Linked DNA regions of Alligator mississippiensis. The protein of the gene in region 2 purifies or fractionates together with the protein of the main gene of each other region. This does not show direct contact. Links are inferred from orthologs where the notes say so. Each region holds a gene or a part of one and is shown on either strand. Other genes may lie near its edges.

Evidence for each region. Proteins that work in one complex are often made in the same cells at the same time.
Region 1: the proteins of DIS3L (region 2) and EXOSC2 purify together in Homo sapiens (affinity purification with mass spectrometry; 5 studies listed by BioGRID and IntAct, with this or other methods). This does not show direct contact. The link is inferred for Alligator mississippiensis from reciprocal best matches to the Homo sapiens genes DIS3L and EXOSC2.
Region 3: the proteins of DIS3L (region 2) and EXOSC4 purify together in Homo sapiens (affinity purification with mass spectrometry; 5 studies listed by BioGRID and IntAct, with this or other methods). This does not show direct contact. The link is inferred for Alligator mississippiensis from reciprocal best matches to the Homo sapiens genes DIS3L and EXOSC4.
Region 4: the proteins of DIS3L (region 2) and EXOSC6 purify together in Homo sapiens (affinity purification with mass spectrometry; 3 studies listed by BioGRID and IntAct, with this or other methods). This does not show direct contact. The link is inferred for Alligator mississippiensis from reciprocal best matches to the Homo sapiens genes DIS3L and EXOSC6.

Annotation. Positions count from the first base shown.
Region 1 is NC_081835.1:59,318,665-59,325,831, reverse strand, and holds the start of EXOSC2 (exosome complex component RRP4), read right to left. Parts: upstream 3,017-7,167; 5' UTR 3,002-3,016; coding exon 2,769-3,001; intron 2,446-2,768; coding exon 2,344-2,445; intron 1,013-2,343; coding exon 967-1,012; intron 1-966. Other genes in the region: PRDM12 (PR domain zinc finger protein 12), read right to left, coding at 6,611-6,993. UniProt on the Homo sapiens protein: Non-catalytic component of the RNA exosome complex which has 3'->5' exoribonuclease activity and participates in a multitude of cellular RNA processing and degradation events.
Region 2 is NC_081834.1:5,034,350-5,041,672, forward strand, and holds the start of DIS3L (DIS3-like exonuclease 1), read right to left. Parts: upstream 3,014-7,323; 5' UTR 2,943-3,013; coding exon 2,813-2,942; intron 1-2,812. UniProt on the Homo sapiens protein: Catalytic component of the RNA exosome complex which has 3'->5' exoribonuclease activity and participates in a multitude of cellular RNA processing and degradation events.
Region 3 is NC_081826.1:912,585-918,917, forward strand, and holds EXOSC4 (exosome complex component RRP41), read left to right. Parts: upstream 1-4,253; 5' UTR 4,254-4,302; coding exon 4,303-4,473; intron 4,474-4,806; coding exon 4,807-5,013; intron 5,014-5,105; coding exon 5,106-5,465; 3' UTR 5,466-5,817; downstream 5,818-6,333. Other genes in the region: OPLAH (5-oxoprolinase), read right to left, coding at 1-136, 339-534, 693-816, 936-1,050, 2,967-3,158, 3,841-4,014. UniProt on the Homo sapiens protein: Non-catalytic component of the RNA exosome complex which has 3'->5' exoribonuclease activity and participates in a multitude of cellular RNA processing and degradation events.
Region 4 is NC_081833.1:34,962,368-34,969,740, forward strand, and holds EXOSC6 (exosome complex component MTR3), read right to left. Parts: upstream 2,550-7,373; 5' UTR 2,434-2,549; coding exon 1,573-2,433; 3' UTR 517-1,572; downstream 1-516. Other genes in the region: AARS1 (alanine--tRNA ligase, cytoplasmic), read right to left, coding at 3,581-3,766, 4,155-4,268, 6,372-6,458, 7,164-7,283. UniProt on the Homo sapiens protein: Non-catalytic component of the RNA exosome complex which has 3'->5' exoribonuclease activity and participates in a multitude of cellular RNA processing and degradation events.

The DNA of each region.
Region 1 (7,167 bases), on a different chromosome or scaffold from region 2:
TGTTCTCAGCACACATGAACAAAACTAGTGCCCTTCACTTATGGTGGGAGTGCCTGATTCATGTTAGGGCATAACGCCCTGCCAGTTCCAATATGCTATTTACAGCGTAACAAACTGATCATCAGTGTAAGAGCTAAGTGCTTAAATACCCTTTCAGCGCTACTGCCTACTTCGTAAATTACCTGTGCTTTCTAACTGCCCCAGAGACAGAGGAAGGGAAGCTGCTGTCAAAGGGCTGCTATTTTAAGCCTTGAAAATAAAGCAGATAGCTGGTTTCGTGGCTACTGTTGCCCCTCCTTTTCAAGGCTTTTAATAGCAGTCCTGAAACTATCAGACTTGGAAATGAAAAGAGCCTGCCAGTTTCAGGGCTGCTAATGCCACGGCACTGAGAGCTGCTGTGTGCTGCTGAGCACTGATCAGCTCCAATACAATTCCAGGTAAGACTTTTTCAGTCTCAAGGCTATTCTCTTAAACTCAGTACACTCTAAACCCACCTCCTACGCCCCAGAAAGAGTATTCCTGGGGGAGCAGATGTAGCACCCAAAGCTACTTGTCATCTCTGGCTTTTAAATCACTGGTTATATTAAGAACTTCCTAGTAACCAAGGAGGCCAGTGCTGTCCTGGTTTCAATGACGCGTCATGCTTTGCTCAAGGTCTCTCAGCAGCACAACCTGGAACCAAACTCAGGGGTTTAGGCCATGCCAGTACAGCTACGGGCTGAGCTTCCACAGCCTTTATGGCCAGACCGTAAAAGATCTGATTGCTTAAGTTGCTGGGTGCACCTTGGATCAGACACCCAGCCACAAATGACAGTCTGGTGGTTATCTTCCCCCTTGGCTAGGGTTGTGCCCAGGAGCACATCTGATTTATAACATGTAGGATAAGGGTAACTGGGACAATATTGTGTATCAGAGAAATCAAGTCATTCATACAAAACAATGACTAGAAACCTCTGGGCACTTTACCTCTGTGATTCTCCCAACCACGATGTCGCCAACTTCACCGTTATACCTGGGCGCAAGAAAAAAGGGAAACTGTTCACACTGGATGCAGAAACCCCTCTCAATTCAGATCCCCTTATCACTACCACGGTAATTAAACACAAGCAGGGCTGAGCTAGCACAGGTCCCAACAGCACAACCTGCTTCAACTCTAGCACAGTGCCCCAATACAGAGGCTTTTTTCCAGCAAGTTTTAACTGAGCTCAGCAGAGGTGTAAATGAATTAAATTTGCTGGGCTCTGCTACCTGAGAGGTCAGAGCGGACAATCGTGAGGTCCCTCCAGGTTTTAACAGTGACAAGCAATGTGGGGCCTGATATCACGAGGATCAGAATAGGATGCAATTTAATAAAGATAAGTGCAAAGTGCTGCACCTGGGGAGAAAGAATCACCAATACGCCTCCAGACTGGGAAGTACCATTCTAAGTATCACAGCAACGGAAAGGGATCTCGGAGTCATAGTCAACACAAAAATGAATACGAGTCGCCAATGTGACGAGGTAATAAGTAAGGCTAACTGCACTGTCTTGCATGAGCAGGTGCAAGCAGGTCTAGGGAGGCGATACGTCCCTTCTATGCGGCATTGGTGAGGCCACAGCTCGAGTACTGTGTCCAGTTTTGGGTGCCGCACTTCAAGAGGGATGTAGATAATCTGGAAAGGGTTCGGAGGAGGGCTACTCATATGGCTGAGGGCCTGCAGGTAAGATCCTACAAAGACAGACTGAGGAACCTGAATCTCCTCAGCCTCGCAAGAGAAGGCTGAGAGGTGATCTTGTGGCTGTCTATAAGCTCATCGGGGGGGCGGGGCGGCAGGGAATAGGGGATGCTGTGTTTACCAGGGCGCCCCTCGGGGTTACCAGAAACAACGGCCACAAACCGTAAAGGAGCAGATTTAGGTTGGACATCAGGGAAAAAATCTTTACGGTGAGGGTTGCCAAAATATGGAATGGGCTTCCCAGGGAGGTGGTGCTTCCCCTACCTTGGAGGCGTTTAAAAGGAGAGTAGACAAGCACCTGGCTGGGGTCACTTGACCCCAGCGCTTCTTCCTGCCCAGAGCAGGGGATCGGACTCGATGAGCTAACAGGTCCCTTCCAACCCTAGAAACCTATGAAATCACCTCTCTGGTTATGGTAGTTGGATGTAGCTGGCAAACGTGATCGCATCCAGTTTAGCAACCTTCGCCCTACCGGTTTCCGCTGCAGGGCGCACGCAGAGACCCATCCCACCCCCACCTCCAGCACCCTTCAGGGGGAAGGGGGAGACCCGTCCCACCCCACAGCGATACCCGGGCTCCGGGTGGGTCCAGCCAACACCTCGTGCGTCCTCGACCGACGGCGCTCACCTGGTTTTCAGGGCTTTGACACAGATCAGCTTGTTCACTCGCTCCACCGCACCCGCCACGGACGCCACCAGCTTCTCCTCGCCCATGTAGGTGCCGTGGCCCCTGCCGAGGAGAGAGCAGGTGACGCAGGGGGCCAGGAAGGCTCCCCCCACTCCAACATGAAGCAGGCTGGGGTGGACCCCTGCCAAGGGGGTCCCACGCGTGAGCAATGGGGTGGAGGTGGTAGGGCAGGGGGTAACCCAGGGACCCCCCCACACTGGTGCGAGCTGGGGGCCACCTGGCAAAGCAGCAGCTCTGCAGAAAAGGACCTGGGGTTACAGCAGACACGAGGTACCCCCCAGGGCAGCAGCAGAGGCCCCATCCCATGCACCCCCCCTCCCCAAAAAAATACCCCAGAGGACATTAGGAAGCCTGCCCCTCCCCACCTCATGTAGCCCGTGTCCGTGGTGATCGTGTCCCCCGGCGCCACCAGGTCCCTCCCGCTGCCCCGCGCCAAGTCCTGGCCCACCAGCTTGCGGGCCACGGGCAGCCGGACCTCCATAGCCGCCATTCCGACTCCTGGCGGCGCGGCAGCTTCAGGCCCCTTGGGCTCCACGGGTTTCCCGCCGCCATGCCAACTGCTGGCAAGAGCACGTGTGCGGGCTCCCCGCGTCGCCATCTTGGGGAAGGGCGGAGCGGGCGCAGGGAAGCCATGTTGGATCCGGGCAAGGAGGGCGGAACGGCCTTCAGTGCGTTGGGTGTTGAGGGAAGGCGAGAGGGTGGGTCCATCTTTAGTGCTGGCAGGAGCTGGAAGAGCTCTGGTGCCCCCCAGTGCTGGCTGTGGGGAGCTCCCCGGGGGAGGTCACAGAGATGCTCCAGCTTTGCCCCCAGGGGCAGGGGGCTCACAGGGGCAAAGCTGGCTCAGGCTCCCCCTTGCAAGGGGAGAGCCTTGCAGGGAGGGAAAGTGTCCAATCCCACCAGGAAAAAACTGGGGCAAGCACATAAGAGCCAGCCCCTCGCCCAGCCCGCTGCCATTGCCCTGCTTGGTCCTCATCTCCAGCCAGTGCATTTACTCCTCCAGCGCAGGACGGTTCGGACAGGCCTCAGGCAGGCGCTCGGACTAGATGTGGCCTCTGGAGGTCGCTCCCGGCCCGACTCCTCTACGAGCCTATGAATAAGCAAGAAAGCATCCGGCCCTCGTGCGCCCGACGGGACAGGGCTCTCACGCTGTCCTGCATGAGGCTGGGTCCCTTGGGAGAGCCTGCAGGCATCGTCCTGCCTGCCGGATGGTGAGCACCGTGCACCACAGCTGCATAACGCTCGGGTTGAGGAGGCACCGAAACACCCTCTGCATGTCTGATCCAAAAGGTTAAGCTGCTCCGGACATAAAAAGCCTGGCCTAGATCCTCCCACCGGGCCAACAGGCTCTGCGCAAGCCTGCGCTAGCGTTCGCCAGGCCTGCGCTGTGTTATAACGATGGGCATGTGGTTGTAAAGGCAAGTGCTGGCCAGAAGGAAATGGGAAATGGGCGCCGTCCAGTGCACTTCTGTGTTAAGGACCTGTTTGCTGTGACTGAAAACCTGAGGCTTGACGCCTTTCGTTTGCACAGGTGCTGGTGCACACGTGAGCATTGGGGGGGTGTACATGTGTGCAAATGATTTTCCTCCTATTCCAAAGACCACTCTCTTTCAAGATGCAAGGATCATCCTAGACAAACGGCAGGTCAGGACTGATCAGTGCTTTGTCTTAACTGTGCAGTGCAGTAGGGTCAGAGAGAGCAGGGTCAGCGGCATTTTTGATCATTAGGTCTGACCTCGTGCATTGCACGGGCAAGGGCTCGCCTTCAAGGGACTGCTGCACCTTGTGGCTGACGGTGTCTTTTAGGAAGGCATCCAATCTTGCTTGACCCCAAGCAGCAGCAAATCTCCTGCTTCCCATAGCAAGCTGTTTTAATGGTTTGACCCCCAAGCAGCAGCAAATCTCCCCTGCCCTTAGCAAGCTGTTCTGCTAGCTAAGGATACACGGGTGGGAACTTTTGTTCACTTCACTCCAACACAGTGAAGAGGCATAAAGGACGTAAAAAGGGAGTAAAAAGCAAGGTAGAAAAAGGAAAAGGGAAGTAAAAAGGCAAGAAAAGAAAGTAAAAAAAGGAAAAGGGAAGTAAAAAGGAGAAAAAGGAAGGTAAAAAAAGGAAAAGGGAAGTAAAAAGGCAAGAAAAGAAAGAAAAAAAGGAAAAAGGAAGTAAAAAGGAAAAAAAGAAAAAGGAAATAAGGCAAGAAAAGAAAGTAAAAAAAAGGAAAAAGGAAGTAAAAAGGAGAAAAAGGAAGATAAAAAAAGGAAAAGGGAAGTAAAAAGGCAAGAAAAGAAAGTAAAAAAAGGAAAAGGGAAGTAAAAAGGAAAAAGGAAGGTAAAAAAAGGAAAAGGGAAGTAAAAAGGCAAGAAAAGAAAGTAAAAAAAGGAAAAAGGAAGTAAAAAGGAGAAAAAGAAAGGTAGAAAAAGGAAAAAATAAAAAGGCAATAAAAGAAAGTAGAAAAAGGAAGTGAAAAAGGAAAGTGGGAAAAGGAAGTAAAAAGGCGAAATAAGGAAAAAAAAGACAAAAGGAAGTAAAAAGGAGAAAAATCCAAGGACCCCCTTCTCGTCGCTTCCCTGTGCCAAAGCCAGCATCAGGCTGTCCTAAAATACAGCAAGGAAGAAAAGTGCCTAACGATTCACCATCTAAATGGTAAATGTTCCAAGTAATTTTTATTTAGAATACAAGAGAGAGCGTGGTACAAAGGTATTTACAGCTGTGTACATATACAATCAAATAATATATAATATCAAAGTTTTGTAAATAATGTTTTACATAAATATGTACAAAGTTAAAGTGACAGTTGTTTTCTGGAAGTAAAACACAGTTTGTGAAAACTCTATACATCTCATACTTAGAATTAATATTATAATAGCTTCTCTTCCACGTTATTTTACAAATCCCCCTCTTTGCCTGGGTTCGTGACTGCGGCAGGCCTCCAGGAGGCGCTTCAGACTGCGTTCGGGTTGGGACTTGCCCAAAGGATGGGTTTCTCTCTGGTCTCCAGAGGGCAGTGGAGGGAACAGTTTCAATGGTCCCTAAGGAAAAGAAGGGTCTGCTGAAGGACCAGCGTGGAGGGGTGGGGAAGAGCTGAGGAGCTGAAGGAGAAGCAAGACCAGGCGTGTGTGTGCAGATGAAGGGCTTGCACCCTGGGCAAGGGGAGCCGTGCCCGCTGGAGGTGCCTCCACCCGAAAACATCCCATGTGGGAGCTGCACCAGTGCTCTTGGCAAAACACAGGCGTTGCATTTCCTGAGAGCACTGCTGGGCAAATCTTTTACCAAGGGACTGGCGCTGCACCTGCCTGGGCAGACCCTCAGCCCTGGGCACCGTCTGCCTGATTTCACATGTGCAGAGTTGACTGGAAAAGCTGGGGGCATGATTCTGGAGGCTGGGTTGAAGTCTCTGGGAAGGTTTCCCACCCCCCAGACACAGCAGAGCATCCCCGGCGGCGCTGACCTGGCAGGGGGACGTTCTAGCTTGCCTGGCAGGAGGCACAAATCAGTCCTCGCTGCAGAGCCTCGGTGGAAAGGAAGCTGCCCAGCATTGCTCATGCTGGAACTGGGGTTCTCCAGTGTGGGCACAGCGTTAAGGCCAAAGCTATCACGTGTTGAAGCAGGTACGGCTGCAAGAACCCCAGCAGAACCGTGCCAGCTCGGGCGATGGGAGTGGGGCCTCCTGTTAGCATTGTCTTGAGTGGAGGGGAAGGAAAGGAAATGGGAATTTTTCTTCCCTTCCTCCCACTGCATGAATTCAAAACCTGGAGGGGGGTGGGGAACCCAGAAACCTGCCTTTTGACTCTACCCACCCACTTCTGCTCCAAGTCTCAGTCCTCAACATATTAACCCTGCCACACTCCTCTGTGCCACTCGCTGCCTAATGGGCAACAAAGAGAGCCCCCAAGCCTCCTCCTTGTCCGGAGACTTAGCTCCCTCTGCCCAGGAGAGACCAGTGAGAGGAGACGTGCTGATGGGACCAAGGGGCTGGGGTGATTTTGTCCCAGTGACACATCACACGGAAGCCACACGAAAAGAGCAATGCTTCAAGGGAGGGGCCCCTCCATCAGCACGCAGCGTCACCAGCACGCCCGCCCTGCCCCTGCTCTCCCCACTGCCAGCCCTGCCCCCAAGGGCTGATGCCAAACAGCTCATCGACAACCCCTCCGTACCAGTCTCCGGCAGCTGGCAAGAGCTGCCCCAAACCTGGCCATCAGCGGGGGCTCACAGCACCATGGTGGGTATGTGATGGGCCAAGGAGGCCGGGTGGGGCACGGGTAAGGCCGGGGAGTGCGACTGCAGGGAGGCATTGGGGGGCCGGTGCCTGGCACTCTTCTGGTGGGCCCGGAGCCCGGCGAGCTGGGAGTAGGCACTTTGGCAGACCTGGCATTTGTAGGGGCGCTCGCCGGTGTGCAGGCGGACGTGGTTGCGGAGGGTGGAGGACTGGCTGAAGCGCCGGTTGCAGAAGCGGCAGACGAAGGGCTTGTCCAGCGTGTGGATGCGCATGTGGGAGCGCAAGTTGCTGCGGGAGTTGAAGCCGCGGTGGCAGATCACACAGCGCATGCGCCCCGTCGTGCTGGCCCCGCTGTCCACCGCGTGGAAGTCCTCTGCGTGACAAAGCACACGCCGCAGGGGTCAGTTGCCACCCTCGGCCCTGGAAGCCCCAGGGACCCCTGAGCCTGAGCCACTCGCTCCCCTCCTTGTGCCTTGATGACGTGGCCTCTACATGTGGGGTGAATCAATCACCGAGAAGCACCTGTCACATCAGCGCCATGCTGCTC
Region 2 (7,323 bases):
TTCTCTGCTATTGTGGAAAAAAATTGAAAAAAAGATTTGACACAAAATCTCCTATGGATTTATGCAATGGGGCGTATTCTTTCCAGGAATTGCTCCCACAGATGTTGTTACCAGCCAATAACCCACTTGCTGCTGGCAGGCTTGCCTAGAGCCCTTTCCCCATATTAATAACATGCACATAAGCATACACATTTGGAAAAAAAACACTTTGCCAAAATGGGAAAGTTTTCAAATCTAATTCATCCTAAAGGAAGGTGTCACATGTATTCGGCTGGACTTAACCATCTAAAATGTTGGAAAAAACAGAGCAGAAATCAGAAAATGTACCCAAGCATGAATTGTTTTAATTTTATTGGCATTCCAAGTAACCTCAGCATAAGCAGCTTTTTCTTTGGGTCTCAGCTATGTTTTTCCTCTGTATCCATTTGTTCCTAATGCCATTATTAGCATTTAATCATTACACGCACAGCAGTCTAGGTGGATTATATTTATGCTATACATATCTTGACAAGTTAAGTGACTTTCATAGGTTTCCTAGGAACCAATTCAATGCAATGTGTCTTGTTAACAGTGATCCTTGTAAGTTATTTAGTCACTGAGGCCAGTCCTGCTTACAGTGACATGGCAACAACTACCGTTGAACTCGGTATTAAAACTGATGGCCGAAGAGATATAATAAAGCTAATCTTTCAGCAACAGATTGGAAGGCAAATTCTCTGAAAAGTGAAATGTCACTTCAAGGTTTATATAGGCTGTGCATGTTAAGCCATCCTTACCTAACATCCAGACCTAGATTACACTAACTTCTGAGTAGGCACAGGATGCCATTTAAAAATATCTGTATGCATGATTTATGCAGACAAGCTCTCCTAGTGCATGAAATATGTTTGCTCAGCACAGCATGTTGAGTCAGGAACAAAAACAAATGTCTGCCTTCCTCCTGAATTACCTAGAACAATTACATACAGGCACATACTGACATTGATCTATAGCACAATTTACGCTGAAGTCAGGAGGAAGGGAATCAGACATGAGAGAGGACAGCATTTGGTTTTGAGACTGTAATGTGACTCTTAATCTCTGGGGGTCCATAAGCAGTTGCTCATACATCTCTACAGCCACCAGGCTTCCCAGGGAATGCTAAGCATAACCTTGCCCAACATGTTAGGCAACAAATATGCATCTACTGAGCCTCCATCTCATTAGCTGGCCAAAAATATAAAAAAGAGGTTTGTTCCGAAATGTAGTGGATCTAGGCAAACAATTTAGAAAACACTTTTTATAGGCAGGGTGAGAAACTCAACTGAAAAATCATTATTCTTTTTGTCCTGAACCTGTTGTATCTGCTATGTTAATCACCTAGTATTGTTAATATGTTGCTGCAAAGAAATTAGTGGATTAACCCCCACCCCACACACAAAAACACTAAAAAAAGGTCAACTGAAGATAATCTATTGTGTACATCATAGCACTGTGCTATACAAAACAACATCAAACTAGAAATCACAGGAGCTGGCAGTCTTCCCACATCTAAGATTGTCAGGTATAATACGGATAATTAAATTTAATTACTGAACAAAAACTGCTGCTCCTGCAGATTCAAAAAAGTTTCAATGTTAACCACTCAGCCACGTTACAAGTATACTTAATGGATATCTATAGGATTTAACTCGTGATACAATCTTGCCAAAATTTATATTTAAAAAAAAAAAAATCCTTTTAAACAGGGTGTAGTATGTAGTGGCTTGCCACATAACACTCAGAAAGTCCTTTAACAACGTATTGTGGTCCCTATATGCACACAAGCCATTTACAGGAAAGCCTCGCAACAACCGCCTTCCCTTTCCAAGTCTCTCCTTTTCCTGTTTTTTTCTTTTTAAACCCTGCCCTCGGTTATTTGTGCGCGTTTCTGGTTTGGAAGCAGGGTTGTTGGCTGTCGCCGTGTCAGTCTAAGGACGTGGGCAGACAAGGGTCTTTGGGTAGGTGCAATATAAAGAGGTGGAAAAATGTTCTTTGCAAGCTTTCCAGCACAAAGGCCCTTCTTCAGGCCTCGGAGGCTCTGCAGGCGTTACGCGCGGCACACGACACCAGCAGAGCCTGTTTCGGAAGGGCATTTTGTTACGCACTCGCTTCTCTTGGCCCTCCGAACATTTCCTGCTGCTGCGTTTGTGTTGTTTCACAGCACCTCCCAAAACGCTTCACCTGCGACAGCGCGGCCTGTTCTGCTGGACAGGCTGGAGGCCCCTCCGAAACCGCCCGCTCTTCATTTTCACTTTTTTTTTTACTTGACTACAGAAAAATAACCGGTTTTTTTCCCCGTGGCCAAAACGCTTCGTCTATGGCAGCGGGGCCTGACCCTTTCAGACTTCCGCTGGACGGGCTGGGACCTCGCCGAAACCGCCCGCTCTTCATTTTCACCTTTTGTTGGACTACAGGAAAATAACCGTTTTTTCCGCCGTTGTTATATAACAACTTTGACGGACCACGGGGGCAGGTTTCCCTTTGGTGTCGGTGGTGGTGCTGCCGGCGGTGTTGGCGATCACGGACTGCCCACAGACGCTGCCAGCTGTGTCACGATCGCGGACCACCCGCGGACGCTGCCAGTGTCGTGATCCTGGACCACCCGCATAGGCTGCCGGCACCTTTCCCCCCCACACTCGGGGTCCACCTGCACGTGTGTGCACCCCTCCGCGTCGCCAACGCGCTTCACGCGTGCTGCCAACGCCACGGGGCGGTGGCGCGGCACCCGTCACCACAGACCACCCCGAGGCCTAACGGTGCCCCGGCCCGGCCCCGCGCGCCGCCCCCTCACCGCGGGCGCAGGCGGCCCGGCACAGGGCGCTGCGGCAGGGCACGTCGGGGCGCAGGTAGTGCTCCCGCACGACGCGCACCGCCCGGCCCGGCGGCCCCCGCAGCTGCACCACCTTCTCAGCGCGCTGCATGGCGCCGGCTCCACCCGCTGCCCGGCGTGGGGGGGGCTGACATGGCGGCCGGGGCGGGCCGGGCCAGGCCCGGGGCGGAGCTGCGGCTCCGGCGCCGGGACTCGCCGCCTCGGGACAGCGGCGCTGGTATTTTTCCTACGGAGAAACAAACAACAAAACAACCACAAAGAAGTGGAAGCGAGGGGCGAGTTGTGCCCGGCTCAAAATGGCGGCGCCGCGTCCTGTCAGCGAGGGGAGGCTGCTATTGCCCTGCGGGCCTGCGGTTGTGCATCCGCGGGTCCTTCTTTCCAACACCATCTGGACCCACTAAAAGCGTGAATGGCACCTCCTGAAGAGGGAGGATGTCGTTAGCTAGGCGTATAGACGAATTCCTGTGGAAAATAATGTCCGGCCTCAAGTACGGAGCCCTACATGAGGGACGGATGCAGACGGGATGATGGGGCAAAGACTTCTCCGCCTGCCCCACGCTTCCCGTCCCAAAGAGTCCTGCCCAGCCCGAAGCACGGCATGGAGGATGGTCCGGTTGTCCTCTGTGGATACGAGACCCGCCGTCTCGATGTCCTCAGTTTGTCTCTTGAAGAGAAAAATGAAATGCAGGCTGTCCTCGCCTGACAATGTTTTGCACTTAAATGGACGCCCGGTTTCAACTTTACGATGTTTCATCTGATGCAACAAGTTGGCTGCGTCTCCCTGGAGAACACCTGTCCACGCTTCCTGGGATGCTTTCTTTAAGAAAGCAGACGAAGAAAGCCAGAAAACCCTGCAGCCGGGACGTCTGAGAAGACTCCAGCCAGGAGTCCTTCAAAAAGTCCAGCCGAGAGCCCTTCAAAACGTCACCTCAAAGAAGTCCTTCCAAATCAATGTGATCGCTATTTACAATATAAATACATTCATGTAGCTATATTACTCATCTATAGTTGATCAAGTACAAAAATCTGGGGTATTTTTGGTGAAAACAGGGTATCGGGCCTTGGTTCAGGAACCAACCCCCCATTTATAACATTGTTTCTTATGAGAAGATTGGTTCCGAGTTGCAACATTTCGATGTTAAGACACGGTTTACAGGAACCAATTGTGTTGCAAGTCCGAGGACTGCCTGTACGGTGTACAGAAAGCAAGCCACGGAGACGTGGTGTGGGGAGACATGGTGTGGGGTGGCCCAAAAAGGAGGCCACCCCACATGGTGAAGAGAAAACTAGAGGACATACAGGCGTCGAGTTTCGTGTCAATAGCAGAAAACAGAAATGTCCTCTACGACGGCCATGAATGCCACGTGCCCCCGGAGGCTGGGGGGGCAAGGTGAGCTCGATGGCAATGTTGACGACACTTTTTCATATAGACATTCAGGCTGGAAGGGACCCCGGAGGGTCATCACGTCCAGCCCCCATAGATTTCATAGACATTCGATAGATTCATAGACATTTTTGCAGGGGGTGCACTGCCAATCTCAGGGGATGCACATGCACCCCTTACGCATCGCCAATGATGATGGCCACCCTACGGTTTGGCCGTGCCAGGCTGCCAACTGACAGCCCCCAGGCTAAGTATAACAGCTTGAATAAGGACCTGGCGCTTGGGCTGAGATTATGATTGGAAATCCTTTTTTGGGCCACCCCACTCCCTGTTTCTGTGGCTCCGGGGGACTCTTCTGGACATCTGTGGCCAGGGTCTTGCCCAGCCCAAAGCACAGTTTGTGCATGCGCCGCTGCCGACTAGCAGTGCCCCATAGCCATGAGGCTGAAGTTGGTTACTCATTAAATTCTCTCTCTTTAGGATGTGTAATTCATTAACAATAAGCTTGTATTGGGTACAGATTCGCTTTAAAAAAGGAACTGGGAATAAGGAATGGGGAATAAGCAACCAACTTCAGCCTCATCCTTTGGGGTGCCTTGAGATCCTTTCAAGCGTGCCATGGGGCACCACACTGTTGGGTGTGCAAACATGACTCGCAAGATAAACGCAGAGATTTCATGTAGGACTCCATAGTGTTAAAAGCATTCTGCCCTGCTGCGGTCTTTCCGAGCTCTTTGCAACAGAAGAATCACTCTAGTATTTTTCTGTAGAGAAAAAAAAATGAAAATGAAGGGTTGGCATTTTCCAAGGGGTGCCTTAAGTCAAAAAAAGGGTCTTAAGGAAATACGAAGGATACCAACGGGTGAGTTGTCCCCTACTCCAAATGGCAGTCATCTCCTGCTTCTGTCAGGGAGGGAAGCAGAGGAGATGGCCACTGTTTTCCTAGAAGCTATGCCCAGGGTGGCGGCTGGTTCTTGCTTTCCCATGAGAGTGAGGCCATGCCTGCAAGGAAAATGATGGCCACTCTGTTTACAGAGCGCTCTTGGGACACAAGGACTGTGAAGCGCATGGAGCCCCAGTGAAAGGGGTCAACGGAAGAAGAGGGGGAGCAGAGCTGGGGCCAGGGTGATGCGGGGAAAAGAAGAAGACAGCGAGGGTCAGAGCAGATTTTGGAACAGGATGGAAACTGCAGGGAGAGTGGAAAGGACTGGACTCCTTGGGGTATGATGAAAAAGTAGAGTAGATGGGGAAGATACTTTTTCCTACTGTGTGTTTTAAGTCTAAGGATTGAGTCATTTACACTCATGCTTTGGAGGCAAGTGGCCTTCCCCTGGAACTTAAATCACAAAGCAAACCCCCACCATCAATTACAGAGAAATAGCATGATGTTGGGAACAAGGGGGAGCAGGGGGGTTGTCTCATGGAGTGCACCGGGTTGGCAATATGGTGCAGAGAACATAAATATCAATAGAGCCGCTTTTCCTAAACTGCAGGTTGCCAACCCCCAAAGGAGCTGTGCGGGGGAAGAGGTGTCAGATAGCGTAATTGATAGAGATTTAAAGGAGGAAAATTTTCCATATTTTTACAATAAAGAGAAGCCCAGCTCCCTAATTATATGATCCCTCTCTTCCTTTCTAGAAAATGAGCACGTATTATTGTCACCCTATGGGGGCACGTGGATCGAGTGCTTCTTATCAGATGGACAGTCATACTGAAAGAAGAGCGGGGTGATACAAATGCCATGAGCTGGAATTCTTTATTTCCCAAAGTACAACTCTGCTACAAATGTTAACAACAAACCCAGCTATGCTTGCTTTCTGTACAGTGTATTTTATTAGCAGTGGAAAGTGCTAATCTCATAATCAACACTGGAGAGAAATGCAAATTAATGATGAATTGCAATTCAGAGTAGAATTTAAAAAAATGTGCATTTATTGTCCTTCAGTGTCCAAGTTTCCCTCCTGATCGAATGCAGCTCAGTTCATTCATTTTTTCATCTTCCTCTATAACTAGGGGTCTACTTGCAGTGAGACAAAGCAATTTTTGTGGCTTGATCATAGCATGAAGAGCTGATTTCACAGACATCTTCCAGTGGCTCCACCCCTCACCAGTGATTGGCAGAGAGGTAGATACTGTATAATTTAATAGCCGATTCTGTGGAAGGTAAATTATATCATAGAATTTATCATATTTTTATAAATCTAAATATTACATTTAAATACACATTTAAATATATTGTAAATATAAATTTTACATACAATATAAATTGTAACTTATATCATCATGATTTATTATATGTAGCGTTCTACAAAAAGTTTAGAATACTAATTAATGTTACCTTACTAGAAACAGCTTCACTTCACTGACTGGCGCCTTCACTTCATCTATCTCACTAGCAAATAGTAACTCAATCATGATCCATGGCTGCAGTGATTGTTGCATTGTCGTTGTATTGTGGTAAGCATTGGGACATTCTAAAACAGCGTATTACATGAATAATATGCCGGGGGGGGGTGTTAAGTTTAATTTGTGGGAAATCACGGCCAACGCAGTATTTCCTGGCGATTGTGGACAATGTCATTTTTTTCAGTTTCCACAAAAACTGCCAAACCACATATTAAGTAGATCCCTATCTATAACCTTGTTATAGTGAAAATGCTCAGGGAAAGTTACAAATATTTGGACAGTTAGATAGGAAAAAGTATGGGAATCCCAGTGATAAACCATTTGTAGACACGTATAAGATAGGTCAAAGTCAGGCACAGGGACAGAAACCATTAAGTTGGTGTTAATATACTGATGATTCTCTGGTTATTATTATTCAGCACTAATTGTTGATCCCTGAATTATTAAGAGTAATATAGTAGTTTACCTGGTTAATGAGCTATAAATTAAGCTTAACAAAATCCCTAACCTAAGAACTCTTACATATGCCTCTGCAGCAACATGCATAATGAATTCTTCAGGTCAGATCAATGTAAATGGTCACAAGGATCAAAGAAAAATCTCCAGAATCCTGTCCCTCTGCTATCTGATTTTCAGGCGAGGGATTTAACAGTAATACCTAGCTCTTAGAGCTCTTTTCTTC
Region 3 (6,333 bases), on a different chromosome or scaffold from region 2:
TGTCCTCGTGGCTATAGGTGGTCATGGCGTAGCCCACAACGCCGCCAGCCGGGCCAGACAGGATGGCACGGGAGCCGCTGAACTGGTCCATGGGAGTCAGGCCCCCGTCGGAGCGCATGAAGAGAACTGGGACGTCCTGTTGGGGCAGCCAGGGAGCAGCTGGGGTCGGGGAGCTGCGGGGGTGCCCCAGCACGGGGGGGCAGGAGTCTATAGCAGGTGCCGGGTCATGTGGAACAGGGCCAAGGAGCACAGAATGGGGCAGACTGGTCCAGCCACATAGGAAGGCAAGGGCGAGGAGCGCTGTGCAGCTCTGAGGTGCTGTGGTGAGCTGTACTCACCTGGAGCTGCCGGACAAAGCCGGCGCGGAAGCTGTGGAGGTAGCGCTGGATGCAGGGAGTGAGGTAGGCGTCGGCACAGGCTGTGTATCCGCGAGGCACCACTCGCACCATGGGCATTACCTCCGAGGATAGTGACACGTGCTGGAAGCCCAGCTCCTGGGCCAGCACACCCACCTGCTGCTCGTGGGCTGGGCACCTGCCAGAGGCAGCAGGGAGGTGGGCAAGGCAGCCCCAGCACCCATCCTGCTGCCATGGAGAGGCATGCAGGTCGGGGCACAGGCACGGCCCTAGCTCCCTGTGCTCCTTCCCAAACTGTCGCTGCCCACCCCAAGTGCCCACGCCGCAGGGACTCACGCATAGGAGTGTAGCAGCACCACAGCCAGGCTCTGGATGCCCCGAGCCAGCAGCCCCTGTAGCTCCGTCCGCAATTTGGCCAGGTCCAGGGGCTGCTGCACCACCAGGACATCCCCCGTGGAGCCTGGAGTGGGCAGGAGCCAGGTCAGAGGGGCCCATTCGTACACCAAAGACTGCCTTCCCCAACACCCTTGCCTTGGCCCAGCCTGCCTGCTCCCACCCAAACCAACCCTGGGGACCCACCTTGGAGGCGCTGACTCGTGTCAGCCCCGGGGAGCCGGCAGTCGGCACGGTGCGGGATCAAGCGCTCATCCACCTCGATCACCTCTTCGTACAGCACCTCGGGCACCGTCACCGCCTGGGCACGACATGGGGGCAGGACAGGACACGGTCACTGCCCACCCCAGCACAGCTCACTGACCAGCCATGCACAGAGGGCTGCCCCCCAACACTGCCCTGCTGGCCCCTCCACTAGGGCCTGCCCCCCTCCCAGCTGCCAGGGCCCAAGCCCAGGCTGGGGTCCCCTGCTCTCACCCAGTGCCAGGACCAGCCTGGGGTGCTCACTCCCCCCAGACATACAATCCCCACCATCTTGTGAGCTCTCCTGTTTCAGGGTAATTTGGGGGTGGCTCCCCCCACATTCCCCAGCTTCTGGACTGAGACTGTCAGCTCAGCCGCTGACAGGCCAGAGTCACTGCACCAGCATGAGCCCTGGGAACGGCTGTGGGACTTGCCAAGGCCGTGCAGGACGTCTGAGGCACAGCCTGACACCGACCCGCCGGGCTCAGCTCTCAGGCTGCAGGCTCTGAGGCCACCACCACACTGGGCTCTCTCAGGGTGACCCCTGCCCCCCAAACCCTCTGCAGTGTCTTGCTTTGGGCTACTGCCCCCCACAGCACAAGCCCAGATCACGAGAGCACCAGGTCCAGCTACGTCCCAGGGACCAAGGGAATGACCAACCCCACTCGCCGGCCCCATCAGACTCCAGGGAGTCCAGCAGCGCAGCATCTGCAGAGGGTCTGGAGACAAAGGGCTTGGGGGGAGACTCCAGCTCCTTCCCAGGGCACTAGGGGAGGGGGAAGAGGCTCAGGCAGGGCATCCAGAAGCCCCAGGGAGCGAGAGGGAGGTGGAAACCCTCAGGGCAGAGCCTGGCCAGGACAAAGCAGCTGCAGCCACGTGGCCGTGTCACCGGCCAAGTGCAAATAAAGGGAGGCAGGCACAGGGGCCCCGGGATTAGCAGTGGAATCCGGTGCCAGCTCCTTCCCGGCACCAACCCCTCCGAGGCCGGTTCCCAAGGGCGTTTGCTCCGGCTGAGCGCGCAGGGGCCAGCCTGCGGCTCCTGCTCCCCACGGGGCGAGGCCAGTGCCCTAGGGATTCACGTGCCGGGTCCACGAGGGCGCCCAGACGGCTGCGACACCTCGCACTTGAGCTATGAGCCGTGGCACAAAGGCAGGGCCATGCCTGCCCCCCCCTGCTCCTACCCCACCTGCCTGCCCAGGAATGGGGCTCGGGGAGGGGGGACAGGGCCTCCACGGGGGATTCAAACCGACGCTGCGCCATGCGCCGATTCCAGAGGCACCTGCAGTCCCGCGCGAGGCCACGGAAGCTGCAACAGACCCACAGGGAGCCCGGGGGCAGGGGGAGCAGTCACAAGAACACCAGAGCTGCCCCAGCCTGGGGCAGACCCAGTCCATCCTGCCTGTCTCCTGTGTCCCACGGGGCAGGGAGCGGAGCTGGACGGAGAGCGACCGGAGCTGAGCAGGGTTTTCCCCCGTTCCTCTCCCTGCAGCCCCCAGCACTGAGCTCCAGGCAGGGCGATGCAGAGACCGTGCCCCTCGCTCCCTGCCCCAGAGCCACCCATCGATGCCCCTTTCCTCCACGCACGTGTCCGAGCCCTGGTGAGCGTGGCTGAAGTCTTGGCTCCCACCACCCCTGGGGCCACGAGCCCCCCATTTAATGCTGCGCTGGGAGGGGAAAGACCTCCCTGAGCTGGTGTTAAACCTCCGCCTGCTCAGCCCACGCGTGACCCTCACTCCTGTCGGGGACGGAGACGGTCCCTGGGATTTGTTACTGACTTCCCTCTTCCCCGCTGAGCGCGTCGTAAATCCTGCTCCTGCCCCCCCTGGCGTCTCTTCTCCAGACTGCCAGACCTGGCCTCGTGACTCTCCTCCTAGGGAAGCTCGTCCGAGCCCCTCAGCATCCTTCCCCAGGTCTCCTACCTCCGTATGCAGGTGCGGGCCGCGGCATGGTGCCGCCGGTGCGGCTGGGACTCACCAGGTCGAAGATGCAGGGCCGGGCCTGGTTGCCGATGTGCAGCAGGTCACGGAAGCCCCTGGTGATGAGCAGGGCGATGCGCTCGCCCTTGCGCTCCAGCAGCGCGTTGGTGGCCACGGTCGTGCCCATGCGGATCCACTCGATGCGCGACGTGTCCAGGGGCTGGTCTCGTGGGAAGGGCACGCCGCACTCCTGCGTGGGGGGAGGAGGGGAGCAAATCACGGCCACGCCAGTCCCCGCAGCCCCCCGCTTTCACAGCGCCTGGTGCCCGCGGGCAAACTCGCTCCTGCCCCCGCGGGAGCCATCAGCGCCAGCACCTCGGCCCTGATGCTGCAGATGGGGAAACTGAGGCACGGACAGGAGGGAGCAGGTCGCGCCCCAAGGAGCTGCACCAACACCTTCCCGGGGGCCGGACCCCTGGGGCCGCAGCAGCGCAAGGAGATGGGACACCTGGACGAGGATGCGGAGCGGCCGCAGGAGCAGGGACGGGGGGTCGCGGGGAGGCACGAGCTGAGCCTGTTGTCTCTGGGGCTCACGCCCGTCCCGACAGCGAGCGTGGCAGAGAGCACCACGCCCCCCCCACGGCGCAGGGGCTGCAGCAACTCGCCCCGTCAGGGGAGCAGCTGCGCGGGGGCCGCCCCGCCCTGCCCTGCCCTGCCCTGCCCCGGGCTGGACGAGACCCCCGGGGACCCTGCCCCCCCGCCCCGCCCCGCCCCGCCAAAGCCCGTCGCACACGGGGGGGGGGGGCAACACTCCGCAGCCTCCGAGCGCCCGGCTTGCACGCACGGGGGGGGGGGGACCGTTGTGGCACGGCTGCCCCCGGGTCCTGTCTGCTGCTCCCGCCCGCCGCTCCGCGCCGCGCCGCGCCGCCCACCTCCTGCAGCAGGCGGCGGATGCCCTCGGTGGGCGCGTCGCGGTAGCGGCCCGGGTCCTGCGAGAGCAGCTTGAGGGCGCGGACGCGGCCGGCGGGGCCCCGGGCCAGCACGTCGGTGAAGGTGCCGCCGCGGTCGATGGCGAACTGGAACCCGGCGGCGCGCGGCGCGGACATGGCGAGCACCGCCCGCACCGTCCCGGTCCCCACAGCGCCCGGCCCCGCGCCTCGCGCCGGGGGCGGGGCCTGCGCGGGGGGCGGGGCCTGCGAAGGGGGCGCGGCCGCCACACGTGCAGCCGCCGCGGGGCACGCCGGGAGCGTCCCTCCTTCCCGCTCAACGCCGCGCGCGCGAGGCAGGCCGGGAGGCGTAGTGCGCGGGGGCGGCGCGGGGCAGGCCGGGAAGCGTAGTGCGCGGGGCGGCGCGGGGCAGGCCGGGAAGCGTAGTGCGCGGGGCAGGCCGGGCCGATGGCGGGGCTGGAGCTGCTGTCGGAGCAGGGCTTCCGCGCGGACGGGCGGCGCGCCGGGGAGCTGCGCAAGCTGCGCGCCCGCATGGGCGTCTTCGCGCGGGCCGACGGCTCGGCCTACATCGAGCAGGGCAACACCAAGGCGCTCGCCGTGGTCTACGGCCCGCACGAGGTGGGCCCCCCCGACCCCCCGGGGGTCCTGTCCCATCACACCCCCCACGGCGGGGAGGTCCCAGGGGTCCTGCCCCCCATCAGACCCTCTCCTGGGGCGGGGAGGGGCCCCAGGGGTCCTGCCCCCTCCCTTGCCCCCCCAGGGTGATGCTCCTGGTTAGCCTGAGGGGTGGGAGGCACTAGGGCCAGGCCATCCAGGGGCTTTACTGGGAGCGCCCCCCCCCCCCCCATGCAGCAGCCCCTGCATCTCTGTGCACCCAACCACGGGCGGCCTTCCCCCCACCCCTGGGCAGAGCTTGGGGGGGTCCGGCCCGTGACCCCGTCGTCCCCGCAGATGCGCGGCTCCCGCAGCAAAGCGCTGCACGACCGGGCGCTGGTGAACTGCCAGTACAGCATGGCCACCTTCAGCACGGGCGAGCGCAAGCGCCGGCCCCACGGCGACCGCAAGTCCAGCGAGATGACGCTGCACCTCAAGCAGACCTTCGAGGCCGCCATCCTCACCCAGCTCTACCCCCGCTCGCAGATCGACATCTACGTGCAGGTGTGCGCGGGCGCGGGATGGGAGGTTTCCCGGCGGGGGGCCGGGCTCTGCGCCGTGCAGCCGGGCCCACCCACTGTGCTCTCCCCCCCCAGATCCTGCAGGCAGACGGCGGGAACTACTGCGCCTGCGTGAACGCGGCCACGCTGGCCGTCATCGACGCCGGCATCCCCATGCAGGACTACGTGTGCGCCAGCTCGGCCGGCTTCGTGGAGGACACGGCCCTGGCCGACCTCAACTACGTGGAGGAGGCGGCCGGGGGCCCGCAGGTGGCCCTGGCCCTGCTGCCCAAGTCGGACCAGATCGCGCTGCTGGAGATGAACGCGCGGCTCCACGAGGACCACCTGGAGTGCGTCCTGGACGCCGCCACCGCGGCCTGCCGGGCCGTGCACGCAGTGCTGGACCAGGTGGTGCGCGACCACGTGCGGGAAGTCGCCACGCTGCTGGGGGAGTGAGCGCCCGGGGGGGGGGCACTGACCTGCCTCCAGGCCTGTGGGGGTTGACTGCTGCCTCCTGGGCACGGGCCCTTCCCTCAGCCCCGGGGACGCTGGGCCAGCACTGGGATGTGTCCCCTCGCCGCGTGGAGACGGACCCCGGTGCCCCTCGCTGGGCGACGGGCACCACCGCTGCGCTCTGGCACGGCCTGCGTTTTGGGCCTTGGCGGGAGGTGCCTGCCTGCAGGGCCTGCACCCTGGGCGGGGGGCTACTGTGGCTCATGGGCCGTGCCGGGAGCCCAGGCCAGTCCCCTGGTAGGAGTGGGTGTTGTTTTGGACAAGCAGCTCTGAATAAAGTGTTATTTTGGTGCAACTTGTGGCTGTTTCTTCTTTCCTGTGCACGGCGGGGAAGGCTGGGGGGCCACAGGGAAATGGGGACACCCAGCCCGGGTGCTGCTGGTCCCTCTCGATCCGGCCTCGCTGTGCACGGCCTGGGCTGAGTGAGCACCTGCCTGGACCAGCCCGGCCGTGCCTGGGGGCTCCAGCATCACTCCTGAACCTGTCCCTAGAGCTGTGCCGCCTGCCCAGTGTGCAAGTGCAGGCCTCCCTGGCCTGGGGAGCATGGGGCTCTGAGGGTCCTGGGCGTGGAGGGGGACTCTCGCGCCCCGCAAGGCTGGGCTGGGGTCGCGGGGGGAGGCCCCGCAGTGCCCCGGGCGAGGGGAGCGGCTGGGAGCCGGGGAATGGGCGTGCATGATGTCATCCGGCCCGCGCAGCTCCCCCTGGTGGTGCGTGCAGCCCCCTGCCGGCAGCCGCGCGCATGCGCACTGCCGCGGGGGGGCGCGGGGCCGCTCGGCGCTCGACTGCTCGGTCTGCGGCGCGGGCGCTCGGC
Region 4 (7,373 bases), on a different chromosome or scaffold from region 2:
TGCTGCATTAACAAGCAAGCCCGTTTGGGACCACCCATCAATTTTTGGGGAGGGGTGGGACTTCAAGTGCCATTTAGCCAATCAGAGGTGTGCCCCCCACCACAAAAATGGCACCCGATGTCTTGCTGGGACAGTGAATTTGGAGGCAACCACTGTGAATTAGGTAGGTCCCTAATCATAAGCTGTTCAAACCTGCCGTTTCATAGCCAAGATGAAATTTGTTGCTCTCAATCCAGATCCAAATGCAGAGAGGTATCTACAACACTAAGCAGAGGTTAGTATACAAACCAAACAGAGTGATCCCTGTGCTTCAAGGCTGCAAATAAATGGGAAGTGACACAAACTGCCATCTGAACTACACCAGAAGTGTGAGTAAGGAAGGACATTTTAGCCTGAAATGCTGGTGATCAGGGACTTTCCAAAGGCCTTGATTTCACTGAAATATTCCCACCAAAAGACTTACCGAATAGGAACAGGTGACTTAAGACTCAAAAACAGATCACAGCCAGAATGAGGTAAAGTTCACAGTAAAAAGTACAATTTATTATATTAAAAAAATATCTCTCTCAAGATATTACCTGGATACATTCTCTTGGGTGGGGGCATACAAATATCTTATTCATGAACAGCATTTTGCCAAGATACGGTGCTACCTGGTGCTCAAGTTTTAGTTACAAAGTCTAAACTCAACAGCCAAACCATCATCCAGTCCAGTCCATCAGTAACACAGCTCCACGTTAACATGTGTCCAAGGGCCAAAAGGTCACAATGAAAGCATATTCAACACAAAGGATCTTGTTAATAATTCCTGTAAGGATAATTAACTGAGCTGTCTTGTTCATTGGTATGGCCAATGTGGAATTAATAAGCAAAGAACCAATACTAGCAAGAACTGCAGCCAGAGAGGGAGAGCAGTCAGTCCTTGATTATAAAAAATGAGCAAAATCACAGTAGCGTCCGCCAGTTTGACTTCCACAAATTTCAGAGCCAAAAACACAATTTTCAGGAAAGAAATACAATTGTCTGGGGAAGAGCGAAGGTCCAATCAAAAGTTACAAGAAAAATTGTAGAAAAGAAACATTTGACATCATGTAACCAAACAGATTTTCTGCTGACCAGACAGCACTACTTGTTCTCCAGCAACCAGCTAAAGAGTTCCCTTTAAAATTTAAGACCAGGGAAGCCACAGCACATGTTGAATGCGAGTTGGCACCAGACTACTGAATGCAGTGGACTCCTACCAACAAAAAGATGGCGCCGCTTTGAACTTCAAGTGGAAACACCAGCAAAGAAAGTCTGCCATTCTCCAGGGCATCTCCTGGACTGCAACAGGCATGAAGAGGGGCAGGAACCATTCGGGGCCAAACATGCTTGAAAACCCATGCAGGGGCACAGGCAGCTGCGAGACGAATGGCGTCCGGTGCGGGCAGGGGTGGCTGGGAAGGCGGGGTCTGTGCCAAGTCCTGGTACCGGGTGGGCCTCGGGCTGCAACACGCAGGGCCGGCGCCTTCCCGCACGGTCTGTCCCCGTCGTCACCGACGTGGGCTCCAGGCGCCGGCGCGGGGTGCGCCCTCAGGCGGTGGCTGCGGGCGGGCTGTGGCTGCCCCCGCCCCCGGCGGCGCTGCGGGCCCGGCGGCGGGCGGCGCGGAGCAGGCAGTGCCGCAGCAGCGGGTAGAGGCGGCGGCAGCCGTCGAGGCCGAGGCGCACCGCCTGGGCCCAGCTCTCGGGCGCGCCGCCCTGGCCGCCGCCCAGCAGCGCCGACACCTGGTCGAGGGCGGGCAGCAGCGCCACGGTGAGGCGGGCGGCGGCGTCGCGCTCCTCGCGCTCGCTGGGCTGCAGGCGCCAGGCGGGCGGGTCGGCGGCGGAGGGGGCGGGCGGCCGGCTGAGCGCGCAGGCCACCACCAGGTCGTGCATCTCCACGCCCGCGTCGGCCAGGGCCAGGGCGGCAGCACTGACGGCGGCGGCGAGCGCGGAGCCGCCGTCCTGCAGCAGCAGCGCCGCCACCTCCAGCTGCGCGCGCGGGTAGCGGCCCAGGCGCACGGCCGGCTCCAGCGCCTCGCGCAGCGCCAGCGCCAGCTCCCGGTCTCGCCCGCCCGCCGCCGGGCCGGGCCGCAGGCGCGCGCCGCGCCGGGAGAAGGGCGCTCGGCGGAAGTCGCAGAGCAGCCGCCCCCGCGCCGCCGGCTCCGCGCCGCCCGCCTCCCGCGGGCCGTACACGGCGCACAGCACCTTGGTGCCGCCGCGCAGCTCCACGTAGGCCGAGCCCTTGGCCTGGCTCAGCAGCCCCGCGCGCGCGAACAGCGGCCGCGGCGCCGCCGGGTCCCGGCCCGGCCCCGCCGCCTCCTCGGCCTCCTCCGGCTCCGGCTCCTCGGCCGCGTACAGCAGCGGCGACTGCGACTCCTCCGGGCCCGGCACGCGCCGGTGGTCCAGCGGCATGGCCCCGGCCACCCGATCCCGATAGGCCCAGCCGCTCACCCGCCTACACGGAGCGCCCCCTGCAGGCCCGGAGCGCGGCCGGGGCCTGGCCTGCGCGCCCCGCCCCCAGCGCGGCTCCAGCCACTCAGCGCCCGGCCCCGCGCTCAGGGCGCTCCGCCCCCAGCCCGGCCCCGACCCTGGCCCCGCGGAGCGAGCGAGCATGGCGGGGAGCGGGGCCCGACCGGCCCCGGCCTGCGCCCTCGCCCGCTGCTCCCCTGCAGCGACGGGCGGCCCCGCGCCCCTCCAGGGGAAGCACCTGTTAGACCCACGGCGCCGCAGGGCGCACAGTCCCATTCTTGGCAAAGCCATAACCCCCTCTAACCACAGACTGAACATCTGCCTTCCCAGCACACCCCCACTTCTTCCACCCTAACAAAACTGCAAACCCTGGCCTGGTTCAATGACAAATTAACAGGGCACACATTGCAGATGGCCTTTATTAACACTGAACCTATTCCTCATGTTCCCATACAGGTAGGTCTGCTCAGCTAAGGCAGTGAGGTACACCTACATCACATTAATTTAAATACACTATTACTGTTGTCAATAAAGTGAGTAAAGGGCTTCCATGTTATCTACAGAGAGGTCAGGGAGTTGGGTGACAGGTTGATTCCAGCAACTTTCCAGAGGTGGGCTCCTGCCTCCAGTGGTTACAAGGGGACAGGAGTTTGTGTGCAGACTCTTGGCTTTGATGCGTTCTGTGGCTGACAGTATTTATTACTAATATTTAGCACATCATAACAGTGCTCTGAAGACTTTACAAACTGCTAGTGCAATCCTTACTGCAGGCCTTGCAGAGAGGCCAGCATTATCCTCACTTTACAGACAAGGAACAGGCTTCCCAGACATACAACAAGATTGGAGCTGGCATTACAACTTCTAAGCCCCTGTCTCTCTCTCTTCCTTGTTTAGATCTCTAACCCATGATGCTTCTTTTAGTTTGTTAATGCCTCAGCGAGGGGATTCAGAAGGAATGATGTGCAGCGTCTTTGTCTCCAGCGATGTCGCTAGAGTGAATGGGAGCCCGGTGACCAGGCTGATGAGAAAAGGAGAGAGCTGACAGCATTCGCTTCTTACCTGTGCAACGAGCCAGCACAGGGACATGGAATCAGTTCTTCAGCTCGCCAAGGCAGAGCTCAGCAAAGTCCGTGGCCAGCTTCAGAACCTCCTGCAGGCACCCAACATTTTTGCCTGTTGCCTGGGCTGAGACATCTTTCCCACCACCTTTGCCATCCATCAGTGTTGACACTTCCTGCACCCACTGGTTGGCCTTCAGGCCCTTGTTGGCTGCTTCCTGGAAAAGAAGAGGGCAGGGTTTAGGTTATTACAACACAACAGCATTTGCTGCTGGAGGAAGATGCCTAGATGAACACTACTTCAAGTAACTGTATCTGATGGAAGAACAAAGCTCTACCTCCTTGGCAGTACAGTACTTAACTTGCTTTCTTGTATGGCTCCAAATGTAATTTAGCTGAGACACAGCTACGCTAATGCAACAACTACTACCAGTATCCCAGTTAGACGTGATAATGAGAGACAGAGGACACATGGAAGCCCCATTGCTGACTGCCTGAGCATAAGCTGTACAGGAAATCTGCAGGTCCTACTGCTAGGAAGAGCTCTTAAGCTCAGCCTGAAATGCTTTGGGCAGACACACCCAAAGGGCTCTGGAAAAGTGTTACCTGAGGTACTTGGCATAAGCAGGTGATCTTGCCAGCTTCATTATCTACTGCGAAAAGCATGGCAGCAGTCTGAGGAGAATGAGTCTTGAATAGCTTCAGAGATTCATTCAAGGCCTGTAGAAGGAGATACAGAGAAAATTACACCAAGAACCAGCCGGCATCATTCATCTTTCAGCTGGCCTGGCAACACATGCTGCAAATCCCTACACAGATTCCTTTGCTGCTAGATAGCTACAACAGTCCTGCTGATATCAGCAAACACACTCTACTCCCAGGCAGGCATTCTGAGTCAGTATCTTCTGTACCTCGCTTTTGCAGCAGTCTGCATCTCTGCAGTGCTTGGTTTCTGTTGGGTGCAGTAAAGCTGCATGTACCCTTCTTGAGGCTGGCTGTGGAGCTGGCATCAGAGGAAGAGCAGAAGCAGCTTGCTTGCCTGGTCACACCAGACTCAATGCCTGGAGATCTGAGCTTCTGAAGTCACATAGAGACATGGCTCCCTAGCTTCACTCATGTTCCCTGTCCAGCAGCAGGACTGGAGCAGGAGAATGCTCAGTGCCTGATTTGTTTCCCATCTTGGGTTGTTTGGGGGCCAACAAATGTATGGCTCTGCAACCATAAAGCAAGTGAAAATGATCTGCAAGCAAGTGATACATTAGGAAGGGGAAGGGACAGCAGCTTAGGACAGAGGTGGTGTGAGCCTTTCCTTAGCAGGCTGCTGGACTGAGGTAAAGGGCAACCCATTCTGGGAGACCTGGAAACTCTGCTGTGCCTGCTGCTACTCTCTACTTAAGAGCAGCTGGAGTCAGCAGGGATGGAGGTCAGAGTGCAAATGCTACAAGGATACAAAAGTCTTTCCCACAGCACACCTAGACTAATGGACTAGGTATAGGCAAGTCCTTGAGTGCCAGGCACCCACTATTTGCAAAAGATTTGACACTTCATATCTCACATAGAAAGACCTGCTGTATTTAGAGAGCTCCTGAGACAGGCTAATTAGAGGTCATTTGATGATGCCTCTTAGGGGACATATTCACGGCTCCACCTGTACAGCTGGCTGCTGCAGTCCCCAGGGGTCACGCAGCCCACTGTTGCAATCCACATGCTGTGCGCTGCTGTCATCCCTTAGAGGTGCAGGCAATTGGCTACTGCGCAAAGAATGTGCCAACAGCTCAATGCAGAGATGCTGCTGGGCCTGCTGCTGGGAACACTGAAGATGCAGCATCTGTACCAACTGCAGTAATGGTCCCCAAAACAAAATAGCAATTTTCCCCTCCCACACAGACATGAACAGCATTTAGATACCATGGAGATGAGAACCATGTAAGAGGGTGAGTGGGAGCCTATAAACAAAACAGGATCAGCTGGGAGTTTGCCCATGCAGAAATTTAAATTGGGGCATTACAACTTGATGGTTAGTCTACAGTATCATTAATTGACACTGTTCATTTCCTATTGTTGCCTGGCAGCAGCTCATCACTGCTGGGACCAGCAAACAAGGGGGTTTACCCACAACAAGCTTCTCTAGGGGGTAGGAAACCCCCCCTTCCACCTTGACAAGAATAGACAGATTCAGCTCATGATGCGAGACAGAAGGGTAGGGACAGCACTGGTCTGTGACAAGCCCAGCTGGATGGGTTGCAGAATCCAAGAAATGGGAGCTGGAGGACAACACTTTTCTAGCACTCATTCAAGGCTCTACCTAGCTGCTGTATGGGAGCCAGTGCAAGATACACTGCATTTCTCTGCAATATCCCAGCTGACAGAGCTTCATTGCTTTTCTTGGGTAACTACCCTGCAGGCCCCACTGTTAGAAACATTTTCAGCCTGCATTTTCCCTCATCTTCTAATTCCTAGCCACCCACTTGGGTGGCCCTTACTTGAAGCAGGGATCCCCATCCTGATCCAGACACTAGAATCTGAGATGGTGAAGAAGAGAGTCTGAGGGACAAACAGAGGTGTTGCACACTTCCGGGTAGGAGGTGGCTTTGGTTAAGCCAGCAGAAAAAGTGCACAGACCTAACATGAACTAATTATGCCCTCCACGACCATCTCAAAGCCCTGGCCATGGTTGGGCACCTGCACAGCAGGCTCTGTAATACATGAGGCTGTGAAAATCCCCCCTCCATTCCAGGGGCCACAAACGGAGAGGCAGGTTTCTGAACTTTCTCAGGGAGTCCTAGACACGGGAATGGAGAGTATTGGGACTAGCTGTGTTACCTTTGCTGAAGCGCCACTCTCCATTTCCAGAATTACAAGTGGCTGGTTAGGGTGACTGTCAATGAACTGCTTGGTCTTCTCCAGCACCTGGAAGAACAAGCAGATGTTCAGACAGATGTGAACAGACACAAAAACTGTTTTTTGCACACAAGGGCTCACCAGGCAAACTGAAAGAGGTGCAACAGCTAACCTGCACCAACTTCTAGTCACTGATCACTGACCATTCTGTACAGCTGATATGGACCCAAAGGGGAAGGCCCAGGCTGCCAAAGCAGGAACAAAGTGTGGAAGAACATGATGCAGCACGTGAGATTTGAAAGGAGGCAGCACTGCTGCGTACCCCTTCCCAATAGTCACCAACTTGAGTCAGGAACAGCAGCAACCAGCCCGTTCACCTGCATCTGACAAACATCTTGCCATAGTCTGTGTGCAGGTATCAATTTTGGGCCAGGAGCACTATCCAAGCACTAAACACAAATCACTCACTCTTCCAACCAACAAAAGAACTGCCAAATTTCAGAAGGACAGTCTATTTGCTCAGCAGCACTTTGGTGGGTCTATTAAAAACACCATTATTGCTATCGTGGGGTTGGTACCTCAATGTAGTTGCTGAGATGTAGTAGGAAGGGAAGAGGATTAAAAGAGATTTCAAACAGAAAGGATAGCTCTGCGGAGCAAAGAGAAGCACCTATTTATTTAGGTTGGGTGTGGGAAGCAAAACCCATGCTTTGATGTCTGCAAGATTCACTACAGAGCTATCCTGGCCCCTAATCATTCATCCCGAGGGCTCACCCGTTTCTGAATATCTGCTTTGCTTGCACGATCCAGGTCATCCATGACCTTCTTCAAAACTTTGAGAGCCTCTCTCAGCTCATCCTTCTGCCACTGTGGGATAATGGCAGTAGCCAGTGTCTGGAAGCAAAGAGAGAGGAGATTACAGCTTCAGTCCACTACAACCGGAGGCTACCCTACATTATCCTAATAAATTCATTTTAAAATCAA